Rattus norvegicus: one gene and its partner. The protein of the gene in region 1 purifies or fractionates together with the protein of each later gene. This does not show direct contact. Links are inferred from orthologs where the notes say so. Each region holds a gene or a part of one and is shown on either strand. Other genes may lie near its edges.

What was found.
Region 2: the proteins of Lrp6 (region 1) and Axin1 purify together in Homo sapiens (affinity purification with western blotting; 7 studies listed by BioGRID and IntAct, with this or other methods). This does not show direct contact. The link is inferred for Rattus norvegicus from reciprocal best matches to the Homo sapiens genes LRP6 and AXIN1.

Annotation. Positions count from the first base shown.
Region 1 is NC_086022.1:169,128,735-169,133,308, forward strand, and holds the start of Lrp6 (low-density lipoprotein receptor-related protein 6 isoform 2 precursor), read right to left. Parts: upstream 2,983-4,574; 5' UTR 2,697-2,982; coding exon 2,642-2,696; intron 1-2,641. UniProt on the Homo sapiens protein: Component of the Wnt-Fzd-LRP5-LRP6 complex that triggers beta-catenin signaling through inducing aggregation of receptor-ligand complexes into ribosome-sized signalosomes.
Region 2 is NC_086028.1:15,670,808-15,674,615, reverse strand, and holds part of Axin1 (axin-1), read right to left. Parts: intron 2,717-3,808; 5' UTR 2,651-2,716; coding exon 1,758-2,650; intron 1-1,757. UniProt on the Homo sapiens protein: Component of the beta-catenin destruction complex required for regulating CTNNB1 levels through phosphorylation and ubiquitination, and modulating Wnt-signaling.

The DNA of each region.
Region 1 (4,574 bases):
CACACATAATTTTTAAAAATTAAAAAATTAATCTTTTATAAAACTGTGGTTCTTTCCAAAAATATTTCATCTAGAAAACCAGGGATAATGTTTTTCCTACTGGTATCTGGGTAGACCTAACGTAAGCTGCAGAGTCTGAAAGAGCCCTGCGTGCCTTACTCCAGCTGTCCTGAGGAACGGAGATCTTACTCCAGGCACACTTGCCAAGAGAACGGAGTAAATCCCTGCTCTACCATTAGCTAGCTGGCCCAACTCCTTACAAATGACCGCCAGTCCCATCTACTTTAAGCACTCTTGAATCTTAAATTAAATCTCTAATCACCAACAATTGAGGACACATCCATAAATAAAAATATTCCACACACACATAAAAATAACAATAGTTATAGCCCTATGTGGGGGCATGCCTGTAACCCCAGCACTGAAGAGGCTCAGAAAGGAGAACAGTTGAGTTGCATTTGGAGATCAGCCTGGGCAGCACAGAAAAATCCTGTCTTTAAAACAATTTTTAATTAATATTCGGAAAGCACTTCATGTTACTTCATTAAACACACCTAGTAACCGTGCAAATCAGGCAGACAGGTGTCATTACCCATGTTTTATAGATAAGCTGAGACAGACAGGACCAGAAGCAAGAATAATGAAGATCTAGCTTTAAACTCAAGACTATGGAGCTAAAATCCTCCAATTTCAATTTTTTCCCAATATACCTTGTCACTTGACAAGGGATGTCACTGCAGACAGGGATGCAGCCTTAGGATGGCAGTATCAAATGACCTTCAACTGCTGCTAAGTAAACAAGGCTGTAAGGACCAAGTCCCAAAGTCACACATCATCACAAACCCAATGCGAGAAAGTACCACCTCTTCTTGGAAGGACAAGGAATTCAATCACACTTTGCTCCTGGGAAACCAAGGGTGACTGTCACTTATAACAGAGGCTAACACTGTCAAGAAGTGAAGAGACTAAATTAGCAATCTTTTACACCAAAAGACAGTTTCAGTTGAAATGATATATGCTCACAATTAAATAAAGCAGGGAGAAAGAAAAAAAAAAAAAAAGACCTCCTTACCATTATTATGTTACATTTAGAGTAAGCTCCACTTCGGACAGTTACCTCTCCTTGATCTTGTTACACAATACCATACTTCACTGTCTCTTAACCCAAGTCAGGAATCTACTCAACTCTAGACTCAAACCTGTTATCAAAATAAACAAACAACCCTATGCCCCCTCTAAGAACTACAACTAGACTTCCAGACGCTGAAGCCATCTGAAGTTACCGATTTAGATTTTCCCAACTCTAAATCAATCCACTGGTTCCACATTTTTAACCCTTAGGAAGCTGTCAATCACAGTCACGTGTCAATTATAACCTCACAGCATAGAGTTTACTGTAACAAAATAAACACATACTTATTAAATCTCTTGAGTATCTAATAATATTGAGTTCTCTGCCGTGGAAATTAGACAGCAATTATATTTCTGGTGTTTACAAGTAGGACTAAGCAATTCGGGATATGCTTATTTTTAGAAAAATTTTTTTCCATTGTTGGTTACTATCCTACTTTGGGAACTTCCATACTCCTGAAGGACTTAAGACATTTAGCCTGTTAAATTAATAACTAAGAATCCCAGAGAGGTCCCATTAACTGGCACAAATGAAGTTAACAAAAAACGAACTACAAGATACAGTGACAACCAAGCACCTCAATTCTTGCACGGGTAACACACTCAACGGCACCCCCACACAAACCTCCCCATCTCTCATCAACTGACGAAGACCGGTCCACAAGGTCTCCTTTGCAAACTGTCACACAACAAAAGTCAGGACGTGTGTCTCAGCTTCGCCGTCCAATTCCAAACACCCCAGAGCCACTACATTTAAGCGATTCCCATAGCAAATTACCCAGGGCATTCTCTGTTATTACCAAAGTGCCAAGCAGTTCCCAGGGGTGCCCAGCAAATGATAATTTAGTTCCCAGGATAGGCTCCTCGCCACACAAGGATGACTTCCCTACTTGGTGCCAACTGTACACTTGCACACTCCGAAAACAGGGGGCGAGCCCTGAATAGCAAGGGTTACGAGGGCAACGTCTGTATTTTTATTATAGGCTCAGAAGATTCCCCAATGCTGAAAAGCGCGACCTATAACCCTAGAGTCAATTTCCAACTGTGCTCTCCCCCAGGACCATTCTACCCCAAACAGAAGCCAATCGTTAGTTTTAACAAGGCCTAGAGAGGAGAGGAGAGAAAAAAAATCGTGGGGTTTAAAGAAGAAGAAAAAAGTTCACCTAAGAGACACGGGAAAGGTGAGGGCTTCGAGGGAGAGGGAGGTCAACACCAACGGTGCTGAAACGCGAACTACAAAAGACCCTTTCTGCCCTGGAGTGCAGGGCAGCGGGGCACGGTCAGTCATTCCGATGGAGTGCGGGGGGTCAGGGGTTCCCCCCAAGGCCCGCAGCTTTGTCCGGCCGCGCCGCGGGGCCGGCCAGGGGTGTGCGCTGCGGCCGGGCGCGGCCCCCGACCGCGGGCCCCTTCCTCGCGCGGCTCCCCAGCGCCAGGCCTCTCCCCGCCGCTGTCCCCGCCACCTCCCCTCCCCCTTCCCGGACCCCGGCAACTTTCCCCGGCCTCGCCTCACCTCTCAGCAGCACGCAGAAGCTGCAGGCCAGGAGGCTCCTCAGCACGGCCCCCATCTTCCCCCCCACCGCGCGCGCTCGCGGCCCTCACCGGCGACCGGCGGCCAGGGGACGCGCGGGCGAGGAGCCGGGGCGGCCGCCGCAGCGGCGGGTCTGCACGCTCATGCTTTCCGCGGCCGGGAGAAGAAAGAAAAGGGCGCACGTCAGGGATCTAGCGCGCCGCTCCGGCCCGGGCTCGCGCGACGCCAGCGCCTGCCCCCATGCCGCCGCCTCCTCCCGCGGCGCCCCACGTCCCCCGCGCGGCGCCTCATTCAGCCTCTTCCTCTCGCAGCGGCGCAGGGATCCGCCGCGGGGCCGCCGCCGTCTCCCTGCGCGCCCGACCTCCTCCTCAGCGCGCCGCGGCCAGACCCCCGGAGCCGCGGCCGCCGCGCGCGCTGACTCCCCGCGGAGCCCCCGCGAGGTGGGCCTCGCGAGCCCCGCCAGGCTGAGGGGGAAAGGTCTTCCCGAGGCGCATTCCGATGGGATTCTTTCCCGGGGCGGCGGAGGGCGTGAGGCGACGTCGGCCGACACTGAGGCCGGCGTGGTCGGGACTACTTTCTGCGTCCCGGCCCGTCGCCGCCCGCGCCGCTCTTTGTGCGCCCGGCCGCGGAGCCAGGTGGAGCTGCGGGCTCCGGGCTGTCCGGGACGTAGGAAAATCAAAGTGCAAGTGCGGCTTACACTCGCTCGAAGCCGCGGACGAGGTTGAAGGGTGTGCAGAAGCCAACGCGGAGCAGAACCCTAATGGGTTGAATTGGGGATCATCATAGGGAGTAAAATAAACAGGACTCAGACTTTTAAAAAAAAAGTATGTTTTCTCTCAGTGTGGAGCCTGCTTTACATATACACATAAAGTCACACGCATGGGAAAACGACCAGACTTGAATAGACAAAGATTGTAGGATTTTTATACACATAAATAAGGTTTACTCAGACAAGTATTCCCTCATATGCGGATCTAGGGTGTGTGTGTGTGTGTGTGTGTGTGTAGTAATGCTTTTATATATGAGTTAACACATTGATGATAAAAAGATAAAAGTGTGACTATCTGGGGGAAAAGAATGAAGCTAATGGTGGGGGAAGAGGCACACATCGAGGTTAATACCTTAAAAAAAAATTACATGCTTGAATTGTATCCGTCATTACATGCAAGAAAAAAATTAAAGAAAAAAACAGAATTTTTTTTAACTTGTCTTCCAAGAAATACAATTTTTTTTTGTGAACTAACCTGACAAGAACTAAAGCTTTCTAAACTGAGAGAGAAAATCCTTAGATAAAGGCATCAGTACCTAAGAGCAAAGAGAAAATAAAACATGGCTGTTGGACAGTGGGTTTACAAGTTTGAGGAAAAGAAAAAAGAAAAGCCCCCACAACAACCTCTACCACTACTAGTGCAGTGGGCATTCCCAAGTAATGGCCCAGATGCCCTCTGCATTCACCTGGCCAGCTTCTGCCTTAGGCTGGCCAGCTCCAAGAATTAACCATAAGAAAACCATTAGCTGCCTTCTGTCCAGCCTTCACACACCTTTTCTGAAGGCAAATGGGTAGGGGCTCATCTAGGACTTGCAAGCACATTATCAGATGGGCCACTCGGAGCTCACCTGAGATAAGACTGGCTGTTCTGTGATCCCCTTGGCACACATGAAGAAAATGAGAATTTGAGACACTCAGTGACTTATCAAGGCCACTCGAGTCCTGAGTAACAGAACCTGAAGCAACCAGCTTGGAGGATTGTACAAGAGTGTTGGGAGATGTTTGCGGGGAAGGCTGACAAGTTAGCTCAGTGGGTAAAGGCACTTGTCACCAAGCCTGACAGCCTGAGTTCAATCCCTAGGACCCACATCGTGGAAGGAGAGAACTCACTCCTTCAAATGGTCCTCTGGCCTCCACTTACATGAT
Region 2 (3,808 bases), on another chromosome or scaffold:
GCCTAATGACCACATTCAATCCACAGAACTCACAGGATTAAAAATGCCCCCTATAAGGAGTTTCTCTTACCACATATTAGCCACCTGAGCCTGAAGTCAGTGCCTCCCCCATCCACATATAAGGTGGATGGACACACACACACACCACACACACGCACCACAAATAAGTGTAAAAATACCTTTTTTTTTATAGAGAAAGGTGAAGAAACAAGTTTCAAAGCTATGCTCTCTTCTGGAGAGCACCATCATGCTGCTCAAGTTGCATACATCAGAACACACAATCAGAACTCCCTTCAGCAGATCACGCCATGGAGGGAAAAGGTCCAATTCTAGAAATCCAAGCACAGCCATCAGGAGTTTCTGAACCCTCCAACAACTGTCTACACAGACTAAACTGCCCCACTACTGTCTCATCCTCCAGAAAGAATCCAAAGTACTGACTAAAAAATTAGCAAGATGTGGAAGGGAGTGGAATGATGGGTTAAAAGTTAAAAGTATGGGGGTTGGGGATTTAGCTCAGTGGTAGAGCACTTGCCTAGCAAGCGCAAGGCCCTGAGTTCGGTCCCCAGCTCTGAAAAAAAAAAAAAAAAGAAAGAAAAAGAAAAGTTAAAAGTATTTGTTGTTCTTATAGAGGGCATGAGTTGATTACCAGCACCTATGTGGTGGCTCACAACCATCTGTTAACTCCAGTCTCAGGGGATCTGGCACCCCCTTCTGGGCAGCAGGCACATACATGGTGCACATACATATGCACATACATACATACAAAACACTCATCCCCATAAAAAAACTAAATGAATCTAAAATAAAAATAAAGTAATTATAATTGTCTATGTATTTGAATGTATTTCCCTCTCATTATTAAGGGTTAAGATCCTTCTATGCAAGAAGACATGAATTTTGTGCTAAATGGTAAAGTTTAAACATTATGACTTCTGGGTTAGAGAGATAGCTCAGTGGTTAAGAGCACTGATTGCGGGGTTGGGGATTTAGCTCAGTGGTAGAGCGCTTGCCTAGGAAGCGCAAGGCCCTGGGTTCGGTCCCCAGCTCCGAAAAAAAAAAAAAAAGAACCCAAAAAAAAAAAAAAAAAAAGAGCACTGATTGCTCTTCCAGAGGTTCTGAGTTCAAATCCCAGCAACCACATGGTGACTCACAACCATCTGTAATGGGATCTGATGCCCTTTTCTGGTATGTTTGAAGATAACTACAGTGTACTTATATATAATGAATAAATAAATCTTTAAAAAAAAAAACAAACCAAACCATTATAGCTTCTAAGAATTCTCACGCTTCTAATAATTCACAAGCCATATGCTTATAATTCACAAAGCCCTATATTTAGTAGTACACGTGTTACTAAAGAGGGAACTCAAAGAGTTTCCTCCATGCTATGCAAGAACTCTCCTAAGCCTTTACTCTTTTTCATTTTGAATCTCTACAAGTTGCCCAGAATGACACACAATTTTTCGATTCTCCTACCTCAGCTTCCCAAGTAGGTGGGATTACACCTGGCAAGTCTTGTTTGTTGCGTTCTCAATGCCACAAAATATAAGAAGGTATCTAATAACAAGTATGAAGTATCTAAGTAGGAAATAAAACTATAATTCAGCAGCAGCAGCAGCAGCAGCAGCAGCAGCAGCAGCAGAGATCTCAGCTGGGGTTAAAAACAAGGCCACCTGTTACCAACACCTTTCCCTCGCTCCTTTGCCAGGTCTCTGAGCTGTGTAGAGAAAATGGACACCCTGTGCCGAACTCACCTGAGCTCTCTGCCTTCGTTGTACCGTCTACTTGAGGGGGCCCTCGGGGCAGCAGTCTCCAATAGCAGCTTCTGGGTGAGCCTGCTGGGGGGGACAGAGTCTCGGCCATCATCCTCATCTGCATCTTGGTCACATTTCCATTCTTCATCTTCATTCAAAGTGGGCAAGTATCCAGACATGCCCTTCCCTGTCCCGGACCCTGAGCTCTGGTCACTGCAGACCTTTGGACTTTCTGAGCCTGTCCTTGTGTACTCCAAATAAATGTCAGACTTAAGGAAGGAAGGGTAGGTGTTCTCCTCCATGGTGGACTGGATTTCTGTCTGTGCCTGGTCAAACATGGCAGGATCGATCTGCTGCTTCATGACGCAGTCCTTTATGAAGCTCTTAGTGGCTGGCTTGGTTTGTCTGGACACAATGCCATTGCTATCCAGGATGTACTTTCGGTAGATGGCTCTTGCCAGCTTCAGCCTCTTTTCCTCATTTGAGTCACAAGGCTCAAGCTTTCTGAAGCCACTGCAGGCAAACCAGAAGTCCAGCAGGTCAGCACAGCCCTCCTGCTTCAGGAAAGTCCTGAACAGGCTGATCCCATCTTGGTCATCCAGTAAGGAATGCAGTGACTCAGCCCACCTCAAGTATGGTGGGGTGGGGGAGGCACTGCCCTCAGGCTCATATCCCAGATCCAGATCTGAACGTCTTGGGGTGGCTGTTGAGGTCTCACTTTTAATGCTGGTACCTTTCCCAGAGCAGAAACTGTGGTTGACAGGCCTCGAATCAGTGGATACCAGTTCTCCCTCTTCTCCAGGCACTGGGGGCCGGGGGGCATCTTCGGTGAAACTTGCTCCGAGGTCCAAGGGGAAACCCTGCTCCTGGACATTCATTTTGGGACTCTGCATCAGTGAACAATGAGCGCTGCACCCTAATACCTCAGTACTTACAGCTCCCAAGGGAATCAATCTCTCCTGTTAAAACCATTAAGAGGACAAGGATTAGGAAAGGTGGTCCATGGAAACACCAGAGGTTCTCTTGAGATGTGCAGGGATGCCCTCCCACTCCCACTTGGAGCAGAGACTCAGTGCAGACTTCTAGCAGAGACATATTTTGGCCACAATTTTTGCTCTATCATTAAGGCAATTTCTGGAACTTTTACAAGACTGCCTCTCACACTAAGTGAAAGTCTGGATCATGGGGGACATCTCTCCTTCAAAGGATGCCTTCAGTGGTAAGGCCTGAAGATCACCCATCCTGGCTAAAGAAATGAATGTCAAGAGGACAAGAAAGCTAGAAAAAGGTGCCTCTGTCCCCAGTCACCAGCATCACATCAGTCAGTTGGTCCCTCATCCATGAAGACAATCACCACACTTGCCCTAGTGACACTCAGAAACAAAGAAGAGGCACACTACAGATCCTCAGGTAGACAGGCATAGGGCAAGTTTAACAGAGTCTCTATTTTCTGTCTATTCTATTATTTTTCATACTTGGCATGCCTTATGAGCAACCACACAGCAAGATGTCCTTCCAGCTCTCAACAAGTAAGAGATCAAGTGATCATAGGCTGGCTACCTTGCACACCTTGGACCAGTGATGGAAGAACACAGTCCACACTCAGAGGCATCTATGCATTGTCTACACAGACAACTTTAGAGATTCAGAAAGCTGTACTTGGCTGCTAATTTCTCTCTTACAAGAAGATTCCCTTCTGATAGCATATGGTGACTTTGGAAAGACAGAAAAGGTACAGAAAAAAAAAATCAGTTACAAATACAAGTATGCTTTTTCAATAAAGAAGCATACAAGAAATGTGATTTAGCTCCGCCAAATGAAAACTGTACCACCTATACCTTTGTTGCCGTGTGGGGTGTGCAAAAGGGAGCAAATTTGTTCAAATTTGGATTGGACCCTGCTATGATCTCTGGTCCTTTCTGCTACATCTGATATATCTCAACATATCCAAAGGGGAGACAGCAACAAAGCCCCAATTGGTCCCAGCTAAAGTGAGCTAGAGAGGCATATGTCAGGGTCAGGTAACCGGAACAAAATGAATCCTAAAAACA